Drosophila melanogaster: one gene and its partners. The gene in region 2 interacts genetically with the main gene of each other region. Each region holds a gene or a part of one and is shown on either strand. Other genes may lie near its edges. The genes, in order: Pvf1, hep, Syx7 and kay.

What was found.
Region 1: of hep (region 2) and Pvf1, changing one enhances a phenotype caused by changing the other (phenotypic enhancement), as found in Drosophila melanogaster (one study listed by BioGRID).
Region 3: of hep (region 2) and Syx7, changing one suppresses a phenotype caused by changing the other (phenotypic suppression), as found in Drosophila melanogaster (one study listed by BioGRID).
Region 4: of hep (region 2) and kay, changing one suppresses a phenotype caused by changing the other (phenotypic suppression), as found in Drosophila melanogaster (2 studies listed by BioGRID).

The regions. Positions count from the first base shown.
Region 1 is NC_004354.4:18,830,758-18,835,703, reverse strand, and holds the start of Pvf1 (PDGF- and VEGF-related factor 1), read right to left. Parts: upstream 3,023-4,946; 5' UTR 2,758-3,022; intron 1-2,757. Other genes in the region: CG7101 (uncharacterized protein), read right to left, coding at 3,904-4,481, 4,561-4,946.
Region 2 is NC_004354.4:13,087,407-13,092,320, forward strand, and holds the start of hep (hemipterous), read right to left. Parts: upstream 3,029-4,914; 5' UTR 2,371-3,028; coding exon 1,953-2,370; intron 1-1,952. Other genes in the region: lic (licorne), read left to right, coding at 4,077-4,135, 4,206-4,596, 4,683-4,815, 4,878-4,914. UniProt on the Drosophila melanogaster protein: Required for the epithelial cell sheet movement called dorsal closure (DC), which allows establishment of the dorsal epidermis. Controls the expression in the dorsal epithelium edges of another dorsal closure gene, puckered (puc).
Region 3 is NT_037436.4:21,444,032-21,448,641, reverse strand, and holds Syx7 (syntaxin 7), read right to left. Parts: upstream 2,809-4,610; 5' UTR 2,619-2,808; intron 2,482-2,618; 5' UTR 2,388-2,481; coding exon 2,267-2,387; intron 2,200-2,266; coding exon 2,130-2,199; intron 1,780-2,129; coding exon 1,635-1,779; intron 1,562-1,634; coding exon 1,145-1,561; intron 1,087-1,144; coding exon 991-1,086; 3' UTR 514-990; downstream 1-513. Other genes in the region: Alp1 (alkaline phosphatase 1), read left to right, coding at 3,892-3,967, 4,542-4,610.
Region 4 is NT_033777.3:29,787,212-29,794,649, reverse strand, and holds kay (kayak), read right to left. Parts: upstream 5,715-7,438; 5' UTR 4,498-5,714; coding exon 3,796-4,497; intron 3,258-3,795; coding exon 2,930-3,257; intron 2,864-2,929; coding exon 1,626-2,863; 3' UTR 537-1,625; downstream 1-536. Other genes in the region: sro (shroud), read right to left, coding at 1-14. UniProt on the Drosophila melanogaster protein: Developmentally regulated transcription factor AP-1 binds and recognizes the enhancer DNA sequence: 5'-TGA[CG]TCA-3'. May play a role in the function or determination of a particular subset of cells in the developing embryo.

The DNA of each region.
Region 1 (4,946 bases), 5.7 Mb from region 2:
TCCTGGTTTCGTGCAGTGTATGAGGGCAAGACGAAGAAAAGCAAAGTGAGAAGTGGTGCAAAAAACAACACAGGAAAGGAGATAGCAGAATGGGTAAGAGGGGTGTGGAAAGGGGTGGGGAAGGAGAGCAAGATCGGATGGTGTTAAAAATAGCTTTAAGCTCGCCTTGTAACGGTACTCCTCGGGAGTTTCAATTTGTGTGTATGTTTCTGCACTTGCGTTTTAGGTGCAATGGGTGCACAAGTGTTTATTTGTGGGCTGCAATCAACACACACACACGCACACGGAATTCAGCTATCATTGTTTTCCTTTCTGTTTTCCTTACATTTCTTGGCTCTTTTTAACAGTTAAGCAAATACCGATTGATATGACAGACCAAACGTTGTTATTCTTTTCATCGCTCTCCCTCCCTCTCTCTTTCTCTGTTGCCAGGTGTCACGCACACCTGTGTGATTCATCTTGACATTCCTCTGTGCCGTCTTGTTGTTGTTGCTCTGTTTTTATTTTTTTTTTTGGCGGCTGCTGCACAAGCTTTGTGTGGAGTAACAGCTGTTAGCTTAACAGTTTCGGAATAATTTTCAATTGGAATTAAAAAGATATCAAGTAATTTACTAATCTATCTGCAAAGAATTTCAATAGATCTTACAAACTGAAAACAAGATTCAAAATATAATGCAGATTCTTAAAACCTCTATAGGATGTTCGTTCGACGGGTGGGCCGCTGGTGATTGCACAACCTGTCACATCGAAGGTCTCTTTAACCCGATTCAACGGTTAACTTGTGCGTCTAGTCAGTTATCAGTTATCAGTTGTTGTTGTTTTTGTTGTTGTTGCTACTGAGGCATTTCGTCAGCGCAGATATTACAGATCGACCACAGGGAGACGGATAGATGGGAGTAGTGGTAAGGGGGAAAGGCAGATTACAAAATTAAGCACGTTTTTAAATTATATATATGAATGCGAATATGTACTTATTGCGAAAGCGACAGGCTTTTGTTACTCCTCATACTGATTGCTTTTAGTACCCTGTACTAAAAAAAGGTATGCTAACTTTGGCGAAATCTGATCAGCATTTAGTTTCAAAAAACGCAATCAAGCCACTGTTTACAAGCTTTCTTTAGGAATATTAAACTTATAAGGCTATCATATGCATATATCCATGCCTCAGGTATCATATAGTCGATAGACGATACCCATATGATCTGTATTTAGTTTGCGCAGGTGTCAGCTGTATTTATTCTCACACTTTCGAGGCATTCCTTCCCGGTGCGTCACCCGAAGATATCAAATCATATCAAGTAATCTCAAGGAGGAGAAGGCGAGGAACCAAAAGGAATCATCTCGGAATCGCGATCCCCACTTGGGCGGTCCTTAATTACGCGAAGGGAGTGCCTCCCGCCAGGCAATTGCTCCCCGCACAAGAATTCCAATACAAAAGGAAGACTCAAGCGTTAATGATAAGACCGCGGGCGCGGCGCGGGCGGAGGCGTGGCAGATCAGGGAACAGGCCCATAGCTTGTCTTCCCGTCTGGTCATTCGCTCAGGCAAATCAATTACAATATAGACATGATAATAACTCCACTGCATCCATGGGCCCATGTAGACGGGGGAGCAGTAGAGCAAACAACAAACAAGAAAACACAAAACTTGGACCAACAGGAGGGCAATGGGCAATGGACAATGGGCAGTGGGTTCTACAAGCTCTACAAGATAAATTATGGATTTGCTCCCAAAGGGCTCCCAAAGGGATCGGGTCAACGGCGACGTCTGGAATGCGAGTCTAAGATTAACCGATTTCAACTTTTGGAAGGCGGAAATATGAACAAGTTTTTAAAAAACTAGGGCATATCTAAAATAATTGTTTTCTTTTTTAAGTTTAGTGAAGGTGTCACTTGCTCAAGGTATAGTTTCCTTTCTAGGATATCAAAGTTCTCCAGTTGTTTCATACAATATACGTTATAATTAGAAACGTTTACTATAATATTTTAATATTCATCACATAATATATAATGTGTGACTTTTGTGAGCAAACATTATCATTAAACGTGTTTTCTTTTAATGAAAACCCGCAAATGTGCATTTCAAAATAAATTATTTCTTAAAAATGGCATTTTTGTTCTAAAATGTTATAAATTAAAAAAAAAAAAAAAAAAACAGGAACTTTGAACACATTGCCAGCATTAGTTTATTGAACTTTATTGACGATTTATCCGCAATAACTCGATCATAAACAACTTGATATATTGCAGTTTAAGGCAGCGACTACATTTAAGCCAAGTTCACTTTCATTTGTGATTCACAAATCTTATATTCGCACGCGATTTGACGTAGTTTGATTTGAATAACGATTAAGCCCGGCTTAGACTTTGTTTTTAGGAATTCAAGCGCAACATTTTCACTGGGTTTTCCACACAGCCACTGGAATAACTCAACAGCCAGATCAAAAAACGTTAATTGCAATTGTACTTTTTTGTTTTGTTTGGTTTTTTTTTTTTTTGCATTTGTTAATGATAAAATGGTGTTCTGGTTTTGCTCGAAAGCTATTGGGGAAAAAAAACATATATATAACAAAAGGCTGTGCGCTGTGGAGAGCTTTTTAAAAGGCCCGGCTTTAGTGGGGCAGAAGTGGAAAACCATATAAACAATAACAAAAAGCAGTTTCAGTTTAAATGTTAGATGTAGTCGAGGGTCGCTGGCTTGTTTGTTTACGCTGCTGATTTGTGTTGAAATGTTGAAATTTTGAGAAGCACCACTTACTTTATGGAAACACGGCTTGAAAATTCTAAATATTATGTTTTACACGAAGTTCAATGGCACAAATCGGTTAGCACGAAACGAAAAACAAACAACAAAAAATATGTGTGCACAAATGGGGGGTTTTGTATTTAATAATTTGTGATATATATTTGAGCGCGTTTAAGTTTGTGGTGTTAGCCTCGCGGAGATCGGCGGAGCTGCGATCCAAGCACCAGCAAGTTCCGTTCAAAACTGTCGACTCGTCGGTGTGGGCCAAGTTACTGCGCCCCTATCACCACAGTCGCCAATAACAATAGCAGTAGCAGTAACTGTTGCAGTAACAGTAACAGTACCCAGCTGTCGCAGCATTGCGCTCTCCGCTCTGTACCGCAACACTCACATCCAATCCGAACCGAACCGCTCCGCTCATTACTCTCCCGATCTTGGGGCCTGGAGCGGAGCGGATGGGTTTCACTGTTAACAGTTAACGCTGGGAGAGCGCGATCTCGACTTACGCACACCCTCGCTCAGGAGGCTCGCTGAGATTTTAAATTTAAATATATATAGAGCAACATGAACAATACATATGTTACATTCTATTATCTGTCTATTGGTGGAAATGGAGTATATTATCTGATTAATCAGTGTTGTGGTGATGATAAATATTACTCATAAAGCTGCACTATTTCATCGTTATTTTCAAAGTATTCATTTTAGTGTGACATTTTACATTATGTTAACACTACGCAGCAATAATCTGTAAACTTTCTTTAGGCAATCTTTCATTCTTTCAAACTTTCCTTAGAAAATATTTCAATTGTGCCCGTTTCTATTAACCTGACTTCATGTATTGATATTTTTTTATTCATATAAGTACATTGTCTTTCAGCCATCTGCTTGCTATATTAAAGTAACTATTCGCTTATGTCTATAGTTCCTAAGATGTAAATGTAAATCGTCTCATAAGCATTAATTTTACAGCAAAAAATAAAATACGATTTTAAATTCAAGTTCGTTTGGAAAAACATTTCCGATGACTAGGATATAAATTCAAAATATTAACGCTATTAAAACGTTACATTTATCCATTGCTTAAGTATATATTAATCGTAGTTCTGGACGTGAGATGTCGCTCAGGTATCTACGATTCCGGCTAGGTTGACTGCCCTACGGATGTTCCTCACACACATGCCGTTCGAGATCGATGGCCCGGAAGAAGGGCCGCACGCAGAATTCACAGGTGTAAGTGCCGTGTCCATGGCCGCGATCCGTCTTTATGTGATCGGTGAGGTGGCACCGCTGGGTGAATCTCTTTCCGCACGTGGGACACAGATGCGGTCGGTGGTCCAGGTGCAGACTGTTAACGTGCTTCTTTAGGTGATCAGCAGTGGCGAAGTCCGCCTGGCAAATACCGCACACATGACCGCGCAAGAGGATGTGAACACGTTGCAGATGGGACCGCAGGGCTTCTCGGCTGCCATGGCTCTTGCCACAGTAGCAGCAGTCCAGGGCACTGCGTTCGTGAACCTGCTCCAGGTGCCGCACCAGGCTCAGACTGCCGGGGAATCCGTTGGCGCAGAAGGGACACACGAAAACGCTCGGCTTAGCGTTCACAATGCACGACTCCTTGTCCAGGTCGGTGGGCCAGCCAAAGGTGAGATCGTCGTCCCAGTCGATGCTGGGCAGTATGTTCTCAATGTTCTCCTCTAGCATCTCAAGATCCTCCATTTCATCAACCTGGCTGTCTGCAGGGATCGGATTGAATAGTATTATTAAGCAGGGTATGCCATTAACATCACAACTACTCGTAAGCAGAATACCTACCTGCATCACTGGCCGTGGACTTCAGGGTACGCAGGCGATGCACCTCCTCGGCGTGCTCCTGCAGCTCCAGCATCCCGCTAAAGGTCTTAACGTCGTTGCAGTTGTCCGTGCACATGTCGCAGTAGAACAGCGACTGCTGGCCGTGCCAACTGGCAACATGACGGTAAAGAAACGTGGCTGACGCGTACTTCTTGCCGCACTGCAGGCACAGGAACTGGCCATCGTTGTGCTTTCGCTCCCGATGCCGCTCCAGCCGGGCCTCCTCGCCGAAAAGCGTCAGGCAGTGGGGGCAGACGAAAAGACGCCTCACCCTGACGGAGCACTGCTGCTCGTGCCGCTTGGCGGCCAGATGACGAGAGAACTCCGCAAAACAAACGCCGCAGTGG
Region 2 (4,914 bases):
GTGTGTGTGTGCATGAAGAGGAAGAGCGAATGAGAGCGATTTTGTTTTTGTTTGCGAAGTTTTTTTTTCCCTGGCAGCAATTCAATTCAACAATTAGCCACTACAACAACAGCACGTCATAAAAAATAACGCTATTTGTAAACATGCGAAAGAGGAGACACGGCACAATGTCCGATGAACGAATGTGGGCAGGGTGCGGCGGAGGTGGGAATATGTGAGGCCCAAAAAAAATGACAACAACAGTAACGGGCATATCAAGACATTACTCCGGAAATGCCAAAAAGTAACCAATGGCGGAGAGCGAGAGAGGAAGAGAGCACCAAACGCGAGTAGAGAGACGCACACATGCAAAAAGTAAATAAAAAGTATGTAAGTAAATAAATAACAACACTTGATGGCAGATGAAAATCCAATAAGAAAAATATACAAGACAAATATGCAAAAACTTAAATGTATAACAAAAGGAAGGGGAAAAGAAACGAAAAAAGGCGGTGGGTGGTCTCACAACCGTGGGCACAATAACGTCATCTCTTACATGAAAAATTTAAAATTTCTATCAATTTAAGCCTCATAAATAATCGAATAACGACAACTTTTGTCTTTAATAAACCAATTTTGTTCTGATAAATTAACATATAGACCGTTATATTTTGTTAGCTATTTATTCATTTAACTTTTGCTCGCTCATTATGTACCACGAACTTGAAAATCTATTCAATAGCTGATTACACTGTTAAAATTTGGGTGTGATTTTAAGTACCCCTGAAATTCGCGGAAACTATTAACCACTACTAATCTAATCGAATCGAAATGTATTTGATTATTCAAAAACCCATTAGGCATTTTCTGGGGTTCATGTATCAAACAGTTATGGTACCAGGAATTGTTAATCTAATCGAGGCGAAAATAAATTGACGCGGTTCACAGCTGTTAATACCACTGTAGATTTGACTTCTTTTTATTTTTGTTTGGCCCAACAAAAGGCCGAAAACAAGTTGGGTACGCTTTTGGTGTTCGCACTTGGCCTGTCTTATCTATGCAATCGGAAAAACAGAACGGGAAATCGGAGGGGGGGAAAAGCGGCAGAGCTACGGGGTTGACGGGGCGCTGCTGAGGTGCTGGAATGGGGGATTATGAGCAGCTGTTATGCAGTCGGGGAATCGATAGCGTTTGCCCTTTGTTGGCGGCATCCAAATGCTCCAAAGTAAACCCAATGGCAATAGCAATGGGAAAAGCCAAGAAAAGAGCACTTCTCTTATCACAATTTAAGCACACATACATGTATGTACACACACACACGCGCACATACACAGCTTATTGGGCAATGACAATTTATTAACAAAATATTTACACAAATGCGGACAAAAGATGGTTTTGTGGCTTGCGGTTGGCGGTACGGTATATATAGATTTTTGGTGACCATTTTTGGGGATCACGATTTTTCTCAGCCCACTTTTATTACCACTTAACAAACTGTCTACAGTTGCGGTCAGAGAAATGTTGGCTTAAATCCACACCTGTCACAGAGGATCAATAAAGATTTCACCTGTCTAATGTTCGATCGATAAAACATTGATCTTTCTGCGAATTAATATCAAAAATGTTGTTTGTGCGTTTGGAAATTTACTTGGAAAGTTTTACCACGTTTTTGGCGGCCAAAACTGTTTTTCGACAACGATTTACTTTCGAAAGTAGAGAATTATCGAATATTCGAATCGGGAAAGTCTCGTTGGAAAATTTTGAGTTACAGTACGCAGTTTGATAAGCTATCATTTTTAGATAGCGGTTTAGAGTATTCCCTGGTACATGGAGTTTAGTTGTGACATTATATTTTGTTATATTTTTCTTCAACGATTTTCAAAGATTCAGGTAACTACAGTGTTTTTCTAGTTGATCCCAATTAATTTTATATATTAAAGATTTAGTAGGAAGTTAACGAAAAGAGGACTTACGCATGGGCAGTGTGGGCGTGGCTCGCGACACTCTAGTTGTCGGCGGGGTGTATGTTCCACCGAAGGTGCCCGTCGCCGGTGCTGCGGATGCAAATGCGGATGCGGATGAGGATGATGACGAGGCGCTGGCGCTGCCGAAGGGCGTCGCATGAGGAACTGGAGGTGCTGGACGCTGGGCTATGCTGATACCCGATCCGGAAACGGAACCTGCGCCCAAGGAAGGTGCGTGGGTGGCGGATGTGGCTGCGGATGCGGATGTCGCCAGGGGCGGGACGCGGGCAGATGGAACGGAACCGGAAACGACAGGGCCGCGCGCACCGGAGAGGACGATCTGGTCGTGGGACTCATTCTGCGCCTGGAGCTTTGCCTCCAAGGATTGCAGCCGACTGCCGATCGTTTCGAACTCAATGGTGGACATTATATCGAGTCGATTTGGTTCGATTTTTTATAGTTAGTTGCTAGTATCGTTGGATTTTGGTATTTATTAAATTTTTTTCGCCGTTTTTTGGCCAGCACTTCTTCGATTTTCCTCTCACTCACTCCCTCTCTCTCACACACACACAAGCGCGCGCAGGCGGGGGAGGGTGCGTGTGTGTGTGAATTGTTTTGCTGTGCGCCCTGTTTGTTTTGTCGCTGATGTTGTTGTTGTTCGGCGGCACACATACACTGTAAACTTTACACTTGCAAAAATAAAGGATTGCTTGGACTTTTGTTGTTTGCCAAGGGGGGGCACAAAAACAAAATCGAAAAAAGGAAAACACAGTCACTGTGCATTAGAGAGAGACATCCTCACCCCCACACACGCACACACACAGGCATACACGCAGCGCCCTCTCTCTCTTTCTTTTTCAGCAGCAACGGCAACAACAACTTGCGATTTTTTCCTCCTTTTTTGGGAGAATATTTCATCGGTTGTTTTCCTTTCGCGGCGCTGTTTGTCGCACTTCTGCAATCGATTCGTTTCGCGACCGCGGGCGGCGGTATCACTGGCACAATTTGATCACTCGCTTTTGTACGTTTTTGCTGCCTAAATCGCGTGTACAATAGTGATGTAAAAAAACATCGATGCATCAGCCATCGATGGTTCTTCGCCGATAATTCTTAATATCTTTTTTCGTGCCTATCGATGGTTTGCAAAACATCGGCACCTCAGAAACAGTTTTCGAACTAGGAACGGCATCTAAAACTATGTAGGATTTTATTTTACCGAGATAGAATAATTTTCAGAGGATATTTCATACAAATATAATATAACTATAATAGATTTTTCAAATTCAAATTGGTCGATTCGAGAGACTTCGTTGTTCTTGTACTTAAAATAATAATATAAGGTCTACCTATTTATTAATTAATAAAATAATAAATTATTTTAGTACAATTCTAAAACATCGAATTCTATATGTTCAGTCAAACTTGCAACATTACGTATCGAAAACGGAGTGACCAAAGTGCTAAAAAGAATCATAAATATACCGAAATGCAACTTAAGATGGGCATCACTTGGCTAGAACTTATTAAGTTTTCCCTTAAAATAAATGTCTATAAATGTATAAATAAAAAATTAAAGAAAATAAACAAACATTAAAAAATAGGTATGAAGAATATACGGAACAACTTTCTAGAAGGCTTACAAAGAGATATAGATATAATCGATACCTAACTTAATTATCTAAATTCGTTGCAGGTGGAAGCAAATTTATTATCGAGGCACTTCGATTTATTTGTATGACGATACTATAGCTGCACTCGTTGGGATATATCGATAGGACCAACTGCGGCTGGCCAGCGCTAGTGGAAAAGAGAGAAAAACGAGAAGAGAAGCGAAAAGCGATCGGTGAACAGTGCAAAAAGTGCGGAAAGGAAAGCAAAGGCAATAGCGAAAGGTTGGGCGGCAAAACCCGGGCCACACGATCCACACCGATCCGATCCCCATATCACCGACCCGCATCCGAATCCTGACCTGACCAAATGCGGTAAAAATAGCCGCACCGCATCGCATCCGATTCGCACCGAACCGCCAAGTCTTGCAGAATCCGCCAGAAAACACCAAGGAAAGTCGTGGAGAGGAGAGGGTATATATAGCATATAGCATATAGGATATAGGATATAGAAGGGCCTACCAAAATGTCCAAACGCCACCGCCTCACGCCCTTTACCATTGCCAAGGAGCCAGAGGCCGCCATGTAAGTCAAAATGGTCAAATCCTGGCCAGAAACGAATTGTGAATTGAACTACATTCGGCAATCCTTTTAGAGTCCCGCCACGCAACCTGGACTCGCGGGCCACCATCCAAATTGGCGACCGGACCTTTGACATCGATGCAGATAGTCTCGAGAAGATCTGCGATCTGGGCCGTGGCGCCTATGGCATCGTGGATAAGATGCGCCATAAGCAAACCGATACGGTCCTGGCCGTCAAACGCATACCCATGACCGTAAATATTCGAGAACAGCACCGCCTTGTAATGGATTTGGACATATCGATGAGATCCAGCGACTGCCCCTACACCGTCCACTTTTATGGTGCGATGTATCGCGAGGGCGATGTCTGGATTTGCATGGAGGTGATGAGCACCAGCCTGGACAAGTTCTATCCGAAGGTCTTCCTTCACGATCTGCGAATGGAGGAAAGCGTGCTGGGCAAGGTCAGCTGGGGAGGATTGGGGGCGGGTCTAATCTTATCGGGCAATCGCCACTATACTATTACCGTACTACTGCCTTTGCTTTACAGATTGCCATGAGCGTGGTCAGTGCGCTGCACTATCTGCACGCTCAACTGAAAGTCATTCATCGGGACGTCAAGCCCTCGAACATACTGATCAATCGGGCCGGCCAGGTCAAGATCTGTGACTTTGGCATCTCAGGTGGGCTGGCATTCTGTGACTTCTTGCCACTGTAATCATTCTAATATTGGACTGACTTTTAGGCTACCTCGTCGACTCCATTGCCAAAACCATTGATGC
Region 3 (4,610 bases), on a different chromosome or scaffold from region 2:
GCCAACAAGTGGATAAGAAGCCACCACACAAATGATGCCCAAACGAACTATCAATGTCAGTGAATTGGCAAAAAATTTAAACTCAATTTGTATGCAGGCCTGCGGAGCTGGAATTTCAAATGTGGAGGAAGATGGGGTCCGGCGACGAGGAAACCCTTTAGCCCCGGCTGACACACCTCAACGATGCAGCAAGCTGAAGTGGGTCCACCGCATCCAGGTCTGTCGCGGCATTAATGTGCCATCGGAGAGTGTGCGCTCGCTGAACACATAGTCGGATTGGTACCAATGTTTTGGGATCGAGATCGGGTTGGGAGTCGGGAGATGGGAGCTCCTAAGCCGCTAAAGCATGCGTAACAATGGCCAACACGAAATCTTAATGATCGCTAAGCCAAGGAGGAGTCGATGACCATGCACTTCTCCGAATGCCCAGAAGAGCTGGCGAGTTCCATTCATTGATTCATTCAGGTCGGGCCCTAAATGAAGTGCTCCAAGTGTTTTCAACGCACGCAGGATCGATTTTCATGTTTATTATTTCATTTTTCGTACATGTGTGTATGCCATCGCATATATGGCTTCCTCTGCCTCTTAACTCTAAATACAATACAATACAATACAAAGCGCTGGCGAATGAGTTTCGGAACATAATTAGAATTTGAAGCCAACAGTTGTTAATCAATACTAATAATCAATATACAGGGTGCGTAATAATAAAAGTAGTACACATAAAATATAAAATTGTTTTTAAAGCAAATATAACAGATGCACGTGCCGGTGAATACTCCTCAAAACACTATATCTTCGTCTACGAGTCGCAGTTTTCGATTTCAGCCAGTATTGGAAGTTGGATTAAGGATTAAAGCCATAATCTCGCCTAAGGTCCAAAGGATTGGGTGGGGAATTACGGGGTTTAGGGGCCTGCATGCGGCAACTCTTGTCTTTTCACAACAATTTACTAGTTTGGTTTGAATCATTCGGAGATGCCGGAAGGCTCTAATTCTTGAACTGAAAAACGAGTATCAAGATGATGGCCAGCAGCACGGCGCTCAGGATGCCCACCAAAATAAGCTTCTTCTTGCGCACTTTGTTCTAATAAACAACATATTTAAATTATTTAAAATAATAACCTTGTAGGGGCGGCACTTACCCTGTAAGAGCTCGCCTTGCGCAGATTTTCCGTGCCCTGCGAGACAAAAATGCTAGTCTGTTCCACCTGCGACTCGATGGAGTCCACCGTCAGTCCCTGCTCGTAGACCAGGGCGCCAAGCTTCTTGTATATCTCGTTCACGCCCACGATGTTGTTCTCCAACTCCCGTATGACCTGCTCCTGTTCCTCGAGGGCCTGCAGGTCCGCCTGCTCCTCCATCTGAGTCTGCATCTGTTGCTGGTTTGATTTGCGATTGAAGAAGTTGTCCTCGAAGAAGGAGTTGTTGTCCTGCTGGCTGGCGCTACTGTTGGAGCTGCCGGTACGCGATGAGCCGGGTGGACGGGCGATGTTGTAGCTATCTCCGCGCGCCTGCCGCAACGCCGTCTTCTCTATGTCCGCCGTCTTGCGCTGAACAGACTAAAAATACCAATGATAAACAATCAGCATGACTCACAAAACCATTTGCTTATCTGGGAGAACAAAAACAAACCTGGAAGGCGGTCAGTGCCGCCGTGAACTCGTCCACGAGCCTATCCCGCTGGATCTTCAGGTGGCGCTCCTTGCACTTGTCCACCTCGTTGATTTGATTGTTTGTGTCGGTCACCAGCTGGTTGGTGTAGGTCATTATTTGGTGGCTGTGGAGTAAGGGATTGTTATTTTTATCGTGCGTTATACATTGATTTGATTTGTGAATCACACTGTGCTGATACGTTTAAACTTTCAAAACCAATGACTGACTACAATGTTATTTTGCTGTTGGTTTATGTGGTCGGTTGATGTGCGCAAAATGTATTAAAAGGCTGTATTGGCTTAAGAAGATTTTTAGACATTGTGAGTAAACACCCAATAGAGATCTTCACTATGTCTTTAGAATTTATGATTTGTCTGAGAGATATTCGAATAATCGATGTATATCTGCAATGGGTTCTATCTATGGGGACAGTTTAAATTCCAAACGAAGAGATCGTAATGATAATCATCTTACAGCTGCTTCTTGAGCTCCGGAGAATCTTGGGGCGTGTTCAGTTGATTGACCATGCGCTGCATCGTGGACACTGCGAAAGAGACAGAAACCTAGATTAGTCATAGGCGAAAGTTGGCAAGTGCTTCGACGCCACTCACCATTCTGCTGCACCTTCTGGATGCTGGTGGCTATAATCTGGGCCAGCCTTTGGAAATCTATTTCGCTTAGGCCACCTCCTCCCCCGCCGCTTAGACCATTCTCCATATGCTGTAAGTCCATGCTTTCGTAGGCAGACACTTTGATGACCTTCGAGTTATCGCTGGAGACAAGTTGTTCCTGGAGAGACAGACAATCGAATTAGCCCCGTGGCCCACTTATATCACATTCGCTTTTATGCGTCTCAGCCAGGTTCTTGATTCTATATTCTATATTCGTGCTTGTTTGTTAGTTTGTCTGTTTGTCGGAATGTTTGCAATTCGCATTCCCTTTGTTTGCTGCACAGCCACACACCTTTTGTGGTTGCCCTAGCTGTCGTTGGTGACCTTCGCCGGTGACCTTGATCTTAGAGCATTTCCTTCGCACTTTTTACGCGTTTCGCAATCTGAAATTTGTTGATTTAAGTAGGCGGAATGTTCGCAAAACTGAAATTTTAGCTAGGTTTTTACAACAATTGGAATGGAACTGCCAACTTGTGAGAAAGTCACTTTCGACTAATACCCAAAAGTGCCTTAGCGCGTGATGCGTTTAGCATCACTTCCTTGCTACGCTTTACAGCACTTCAATTATATCGATATCTGGCGCGGCATTCAAATAGCAGATATATAGAACTGCATTTTAATTATATTCTTCCCCCTATATTTTGTCTCGAAAATGTATATAAGTCCTGAGATTTATTATTGAAAATCGATCCATGTCTAAAATGAACTGCTTAATGTTATTATTCAAAATTATAAATTATTATTTTGCACTTTTTCTCCAAAATTAAAATGTTAGATTAGGAAAATGTCGTATAGAAATGAAAATGACCAACAATGATGCCTTATAAAACAAATAAGTCGAATTTTAGACAGTTTTCCTTCCGTTCAATAAATATGTTCATACCAAATTTAATAATAATGTAGGTATACAAAACTATTTTGCTTACCCAGAATGTTATTCAAAACTTAAAATTTAACATTGTACAACTCAGGGTATTTGAAACCTGTTTAGCAGAAATAAAATTGAAGATTATTACTTTTCTTAAAAAAGTCAAATAACTGGTAGACAAAATAAGTGCAACTCGTTTATAAAAAAAATCAAAAGCAACTTAATTCAAATTAACGTTACAAATTAGTGTATTGGAGATATTTATCAGTATCCGGTGTTTGGCACGGTTAATGAACTTTAGATCGCAGAATGAATTAGGCTGCTTCGATGCATCCACTAATTACATCATCTCCTACTGCGATGCAAGATATTATGCAAATGACCAATGCAACGAACCTGATTTTTGGAGAACATCATTTTAATCTAAGCTGTGCTGGCTGCATAATTTGAATAAGGGCATAAATGCCTTTCTTTCATCCCGAAATTCCGGTTGGTAGGTGTATTTAGAAGCTTTATAATACAGGGACGGGTTTTAATTTATTGTCTCAGTGTTTTTTTATAATTCGACTCGCATTTTCGGTCCCTGTCTTACCGGGCTCGTATAAATAAGCCTCCAACTGCGAAATGCGGCTTAGTCGATCCGTAGACTTCGTAACGCCCCGACCAGTCGAAAGTTAGTTCATCAAAATTCCGTGCGATGCGTGCTCTCCGGTTCTTTGCGGCTCTTGCCCTCCAACTCACGGCCTGTAGCAGCCAGTACAAATATGGGCCAGGTGCGTAACGTCAAGACCGAGATCAGAAACGGGCCCAAAAGACCCGAAATGAATAAATGAAAAACGAGTGAGAGTGTGCCAGGTCGAAAGCAAACTCAAAACATATGCAGAATTGATTAATCAAGTGCTAAACGGAGTATAAAAGGCGTCAGCAAAATACTCGTAAATTGAATTAAATATTTGACACCCGCTAACAGAGCTGTCAAACATCACTTTTTCCGAAGGAGAATGTTTTAACGAAAGTGGATATAAGACTAATACTTTAAAATTTAAATTTGAATTAATTTTAATGCTTAATTTCCATAGGTTTCTTTCGGTGTTTTATTTATGTGCTATCTTCTGAAAGCAATTTCCCTTTTTAATGATTAATTCGAAAGTGGAGTGGAAAACAATGGCAATTGTGTCTGTGCTTTTGTTTTGTAAAACGAAACATGTGCTTGGAATTGATAAATTCTTGAGGTTGTACTTGAAATGTGTATGCATATCGGCTAGTAACAAAAAATGGTTTCAATTAATCAGAATAATATGCATTCTTAATTTATAATGAAATAAGCTAAAATCGCATTACTTTCAGAGCAATCCTGGGACCTCGACTCTATTTCCGAGTTGAAGAGCAAGGAGTTCTGGTTTCACGACGCCCAGC
Region 4 (7,438 bases), on a different chromosome or scaffold from region 2:
TGACTGCCGCTCATATCGCCGCTTCTCGAGTAACTGAAACAGAGATCCGCGATTCGTGGCTGCACCGAAAGCAACAGATCCCAAAAAAAACAAAAAAAAATGCAAAATAAGGCAAACCCGAAAATGAATATATGCAGCGTGTGTTGTATGTACATATATACTCGTTTGTGCCATTATCAGACGAGTGGAAGAACACGGCTGCGTTTACCTGCCCTTCAGACTGGTCTTTATGGCAGCAACTAGGTGTTTCTATCTCATAATGTTTTCATAACTTGAATGATCGCATTTTCACATTAGAGCCATTTTCTCAATGAGGTTTACTTCCATAAGTAAGTACTTCAAATCGCTTGAAGAAGTCTGCAGAAATTGAGAATGCAGCCTTTGTTGGTCCACCCTAATCTACCTGATATGTTTACCTGACGACGAGCCAGCCCATTTGCAAGTCATGTGAATCGCTATAACTTCAGAAATAATTCCACAAATCGTCTTTAGGTTTTGTCGGTCTTTTTATTTCTATTTTATTCCATTTCATTTTTAAATTTTGGTGTTTTTCTGCCCTTATAAGTGCATTTATTTGCTATCAATCGGTTTGGTTTTGTATAGATTAAAATTTTGAATATTCTGAGAATTTAGTGTGGAAACTGGCGAGAGTTGCTTTACCTGATCAGCTTTTGTTGAATCGTTTTGGGTTTTTTGATTTAAGGTTGTGGGTAGGTAGATATAGGTATACATAATACATAATTACATATTAAATAATTGCTTTGCTTTTGTCATTTCTTATAAATGGTATTTGAAAATAGCGCAATGTTGCGTTTAGTAAAAATATATTTTGGTTTCTACTGCAGCTTACAGAGTACACAATAAGTATATTTATCTCATTTCACATTTGCTTTTGCTCAATATAAAACTCGCTTCAACGCCATTATTGTTTAGCTTTAAATGTACATGCATACATATATGTATGTAGATCTCTATATATAAAGGTTTGCATTTCTTAATTCTCTCTCAAGGCATTGTATTTAGTTTGTATGCTGAATATATATTCACTTTGTTTTGTTTTATAGTATATTTACGCTTTACGATTCGTTTAAATGTACAATTTTAAAACCGGCTTAGTTCCTTTCATTAGACGCTCCTGTTTGCTTTCTACTTTGTTTCATCCTCGCATCTTTTGTATTCGTTTTATAATAAATATCACAACGCATCCTGCAAATCTACACGCCCTATTATCATCATTATCCTTATCATTCTCATCATGCATCGTCGGTCGTTCGCGTTCGCGTTCGCGTTCTTATATTTTTTGAAAATATACAACGCGCAATGAAGAGGTTTGAAAATTGCACAAATTACAAGTACATAACATATGTACATAGCTCCTCGGCGTATGTAAAAGACATAGCGAAATCATAAATTAACCATAATAAAGATAATAATACAAAAACATTAGAGTTAACGAAACAACACATTCGTCACGTTTACGCATATTACAGCATATTACAAAAATGAAAACATCTCCTACAACTAGAAAAGTGCTTCGCGGTTTCCTTCCGTTGTTTGCCTGCCAACTATATAAAACTTAACTTAATCCTGACTCGGCCCCCATCCCCGTCCCAGATCCGGTCCGGTTATAAGCTGACCAGCTTGGACGGCTCGGCGGTGGGCGTGGGCAGCTCCAGCGGGTGCTTGTTCGTGGAGGAGCTGTTCGGTACGAGGGGTCCGGAGACGGGCGTTAGCCCAGTGCCGCCGTCCATCAGGGAGTCGAAGTTGAAGGTGCCGGTCGAGGGCGTCTGGATGGGCACGCCCTGGATCTGCGTGGGCCCACCCGCCTTGTTGTTGGCCATGGTGAGGTGCATCTGGCCCAGAGGACGCTGGAAAGCCAGCGTATTGGGCCGCTCCTTAGGCACCTTGTTATGCGCATTCAGCGTGGGAGAGTTCATGTTGTTGCCGATGCTGTTGATGTTGTTGATGCTGCTGCCGTTGGAGGTCACCGGGAAGGCGCTGCCGAATCCGCCGGGCGCCGTGCTCGTGATCGGCGTCTGCAGAGATCCCGACGAGGCGCCGGTGGGCGTTAATATCGTGGACAAGTGAACGTGCGGCATCGTGGACATGGGCGGCAAGGTGATGCGCTTGCTGGGCGGCGGACCGTCCTGGTCCAGGCTGGATCCTGAGTCGATGGCGCCATCGAGTGGCTCGTCCTTGATGTGCATCAGCAGGCTATCGATGTTCGCCGCCGGCTTGAGATCCAAGGGTGAATTGCTCCTCCCGGTGGAGTTCAGCGTGGCGTCCATGCCCGTAATCGTGCCGTTGCTGCTGTCGTTGCTGTTGTGGTTGTGATGGCTGCTCGCGCCGCTGCCGCTGCTCCCTGCACTCAGGAGTCCGGCCGGGGCAATCAGACCGTTGCAGGTGACCACGCTCAGCATGTCGGAGCGAATCTTTTGGCAGGTGGCCCGGTGGGTGGCCAGAAGGTACTCCAGCTGATTCTTGCTATTCGTCAGCACCTCGATCTCCTTGCGCATGCTCTCGCCCCGCTTCTCCAGCTGCTCCACCTCCTCGGTGAGCTCGTTGGTCTGGTCCACGCGCCTCTTGCGGCAACGGGCCGCCGCCTGTTTGTTCCGCTCCCGGCGCACGGCCCGCTTCTGCTCCTCCTCCGGGGTCATGTTCGTCGACCGGTTGGGGCGTCTGCCACCGCCACGACGAGCCGGCGTATTTGAGGTATTCGCGTTGCTGCTGCCCACCGACGCCGATCCGCGGCTAGAGCTCACGGCGGCCAGGACATTGGAGAAGTTGTTGACACCGCCGCCGTTCACGCTGCCCGCCATGATGTGGCCAGCTTGGTACGAGGTGCTGTCCGTATGGGCACTTGCTGCAGGCGTATGAAATAAAAGGGAGTTAGTAGACATTCGGAGCAATTCGTGCCAGCTTCACTTACAAGTATCGGTCGTGTCCTGCTCCTCGTTCATCTGCGTATCGTTGTACGAAGCGTTGGAGTCCTCGGACTCGCTGCCCTGCCCCAGGCTCAAATCGAATGTCTGCTGAAGTGGGAGCGACGAAACACCGGTGGGAATACCCATGCCCAGGACATCAATGGCATTGGGTAGCACCTTTGGCACTGCAAATCCCGCGCAACCAGCCACACGATCGGTCTGCGTGTCCGAGAGCAAGTGGCCCAGTGTGTCCTCGATGTTGCGCGTGGTGGTCGGCGTCAACGTGGGCGTCGTCAGTGTGAGAACACTCTGGCCGGTCTCAAAGTTGCCGAGCTGCAAGAGCAGAAAAGGTGCATGATTAGTAAAGACATCTATGAGTGCAAGTATCTGAGAAGATGGATTACTATTAACGCTCATTAAAGCTCATGACAAGCACGAAACCCTCTACAATGCCATATCAGTATACATATATCACGCATACGCAGTGTTGCCCGCGAATAGCTTAAGGATGTTTGGGAATTTATTCTTATCACATGAGTAATTTGGGTCGAGTTCAGATATCAGTCAACATCAAAAGCTATTGCTAAGTCTGTAAGACCTCTTGCTTATCCGTACATTTCTAGCGAATTAGCGAACGTGTTTTTGGCCAAACAAAAAACGAAAAAAAAAGAGGCGAAGAGAGATGAAGAAACCGAAAGAGAGGCGGCCAATCCATCACTTTGTTTATATTTGCCCACCCCTTTGTTGTTCCGCATTTGTTCTATTTTCGGCGATGATTAAGTACGCATGCCGCTTGCCAATTGTTTCGCGCCCAAATCTATCCCAATCTCGACCAGAATCGGAGGCATCATCATCGATCGATCTGTGGTACCTGCTGTAGGAAAAGCTCGTTGGCGAGGAAAGTGGCTATCTCACTGGCGTCCATTGCAAAGTTGTCGCTGTGGTTGTTGTCGCTGCCAGCGGCAGCAGATGTTGCAGTTGTGCTCGTTGTTGCAGCTGCAGTGGTGTTGCATGTTGCAGCTGCAGTGGTGTTGCATGTTGTGGCCGTCAAGGCGAGTTGCGCCTGCCCAGGGGTTTCGGGATTCCAGCCGGAGGCGGAGGACTGGGACTCGGAAGGGTAATGTTGCTGCTGCTGCTGCTGGTAGTAATTAATGGGCATGCAATTGTTGTTGAACTCCAGTTGCTGCTGCTGCTGCTGTTGCTGGTTGAAAAAATTCTGCATTTGGCAGACGGCGGCCATGGCAGCCGCATTGTTGCTGTTGTGACTGCCGCTGCTGGCAGCGTAGGCGCTGCTAGCAACATGGCCATAATTGTTGCTGCTGCTGCGCAGTGGAAAAGCATTGTGGGCAACCGATTGCGATTGCTGGTAGGCTGGCTGCGTGGGCAGTTGCCGTTGCTGATGACGCAACTGTTGCTGCGGCGCTTGCTGTTGCTGCTGCTGCTGCTGCATATGTTGCTGCTGTTGCTGCAGATGATGCTGCTGCTGCTGCTGCTGCTGCTGAGCAAAATGCAGCGATTGGTGGTAGTAGGGATGGTAGCACGCATTGTGCGTCCTACCGTTGAGATTTTTCATCATTTGTTCGCTGCTTATCGATCTAAACCTAAATATTAAGTATACGCACTCGCGTTGCGTATACGCACAGTTGGGCGGCTGACTAGTATTCGTTGGGGTTCTTAGCCTAGCTAAGCTAACACAACAATTGGGACAACAATGATATATGCGAATTGTATTCAAAATCAACAAAAACAATTCAACAATCTAAGAATCTAGTTACTAGCTAAACTAGAGTATATGTACAAATTGGGACTCTGTTCCCAAAGTTTCCTAACAATGTGCTGATGATCCTTTCTTGTCTTTATAATTCCGTTCGTTTGGATGCTCCTATGCTGTTTGTTGTCGCAGTGTTGTTCTAGTTGCTTAGAAATTCGTTCGTTTTTGGCTTTGTTTCATAGCTTCTTTTTTTTGTGTGTATTGTGTATTTCGTTTGCTTTCTGCGTTGGCTCTTTCCTAATAAAGAAAAAGGGTTCGTTTGATTTGACTTCTTGCTAGCTGCGAGCCGTGAGCAGATTTCGTATATGTTCGTTGTTCGATTGCTCAGTTCTTGAAGTTTTGGCTCTCCGGCGGTCTCAGCCGCTTAACGATAAGCGTTTGCTGATTTCGCAAAGGATTGAAACGCACATTCCGCTCGGCGAAAGCGCTCATAATCGACGCAGTTTATCGTAAGTGTGCGAGGCCCAAAATCCAGCGACACGTGTCCAGTTTAAGTCGCTCCACTGTGTGAGCCGCAAATTCGATTATTATATAATTATAGAGATTTACACGGACATGGAGCCTTGAGCTAGTTCAATTAATGCTGCATTTGTTGTATTCAGAAATTCCTCGGCCATGGGCAACGCCTCTCAACACAGCGAGTGTTATGCCTCCCTTTGCGCTTTTATTTCTGGGTTTGGCTATATTTACATATATATATATATATATATGTATATTCGTATGGCATATATATTTCGATCCACGCGCTTGCAGCCGAGAAATGTGCGTTGTTTTGCGTCTATATGTATATATGTACATATAGCCGACTGATTCGTTTTTTTTGCTCCTGATTCGTTTTGGCAATGCACGCGCACCGAAAACCCAACGACAATTGCAGTTTTCCAAATTTATTTTCGTTTCGTTGTTTGAGTTTCGCGTTTCGATTCGATGCGATGCGATTCGAGGAAAAGCGCGCGCGCGATCGCTTTTAATTGTTAGATATTTTCTAAACTTCGATGGTTCGTTGTTCGTTTGCGACTGAATCGCATCAGAATCTCCGGCGAGCGAAATTGGCAACGATCGCGATCGAGAGATCGCCGCAGATGTATGCATATATATGTATATATATACATATCATATATATATTTATATATCTTGAGAACTACTAGAGAACCCGAACCCGCATCCGAATCCGGAGAGCTGTCTGCTGTCTGCTGGGCGTGTGTTGTGCGAGCTGGCTGCTCAAATTAGAAGACAGCCGCTGGGAAATCAAATGATCCTAAACGCTGGCTGCTCTTAATTGAGCGGCTGCCCACACGACGACCACGCTCGCTTTTGCCGCATTCAAAGCGAAATATGTACATTTAGTTAGCTATAGTAGAATGTGGTGGTGGCTTATGTACATATGTATATGCTTCTGCTTCCGATTTGCCGAACTTGCCAGAGGCTCATTCTTCGCTTCCACGGAAAAGCCTTTCAGTTGCCCATAAATCAGGCCCAATGTTTTGGCCAAAAGCGATGATTCCGAGTAAACATAAGCTACATACATATATACACATGTCCGATTCGACAGATGTCCCACGAACAGGTGTGTGCGTGTGGCACATCCACATTAACTATGTTTTCAGTTCAGTTCAGTTCAGTTCAGACCCCCTGTCTCGCCAAGAGCGTTTATTTCCGTCGCCAGCAAGTTGGCCAATACGCTAATTGCTGGCTTTTGTTGTGGGCTAAGAGCAACACACACACACACACATACCAGTTGCACTGGGGCTACATTTTTGAAGTAGTATGCCTTCTTTTCTCTCCGTGCAGCGAGTTCGAGCGGCTTGTGTGCTTATTTATTTGACGATCTTATCGCAGCCGTGTTTCCCAATCCCAAAGGCCGTTCCCTTATTGACAGCAAACAATCGATTTTATTCTTTGTGATATATTTACTTTTTAATTTCGTATGCGAAATTTACTTTCAACTCGGCCGCCTTGGCTGTTTGGCCACCTTTGTTTGGCTGGCTACTTTCGTTTTAACCCACTTTTTTGCCATTTGAACTTGTCCCTCGCGAACATGAACCGCATTTAGCCGATGATGAATCAGTCAATTTGGAAAATGTACGTATGCAAAACAAGTGATGATATAGAATGCTGGCAATCAAGCGCGGCGAATTGAATTGTCTAAATTGCTTGCCAGCCAGCTCGGATGGCGATCTCGATTCTCCTATCGGAACGTTGGACAGAGTCATATCTCCGGACACCGAGTTCACATCTGGGGGTCAATTATGAACCAAATGAAACGAGCAGCGAACATCGAACAGCCAGCAGTGGAGAGTAAAAAAAAAAAAGAAAAAGTAAAACACTGACGTAGCGAAAAGCAACAAATTGCTGACTAATACACGCGACTGCTGCAAATTTGATTTGCGGGCGGTTCAAGCCAAACCAAAGTGGCCCCTAAATAAATGTATGGTGACTGCAACTTACAAAAATATTTCAAAACCTAAAAATTGCCACTTCCCAAAGGAATTCCCTGAAAACTCAAACTTATCAATTGCCTGTAAATCCGCGCTATCATTTTGATTAGACCATCAACTTTGACCTTGGCTCTAATTAGTTCAAAAACACATTCACATGTTTTTAAACGCTGGGCAGAGGAGGAAGGTGAAGATGCAACAAGTTGAGTGGCTAAGAAATTCTCGGGCCCGAGACTTTGCCTTCTGCTTTCAGCTGACGTGTTGGGCTATTTTTAGACCAATTTTAGCCTGACAATGACGTAATG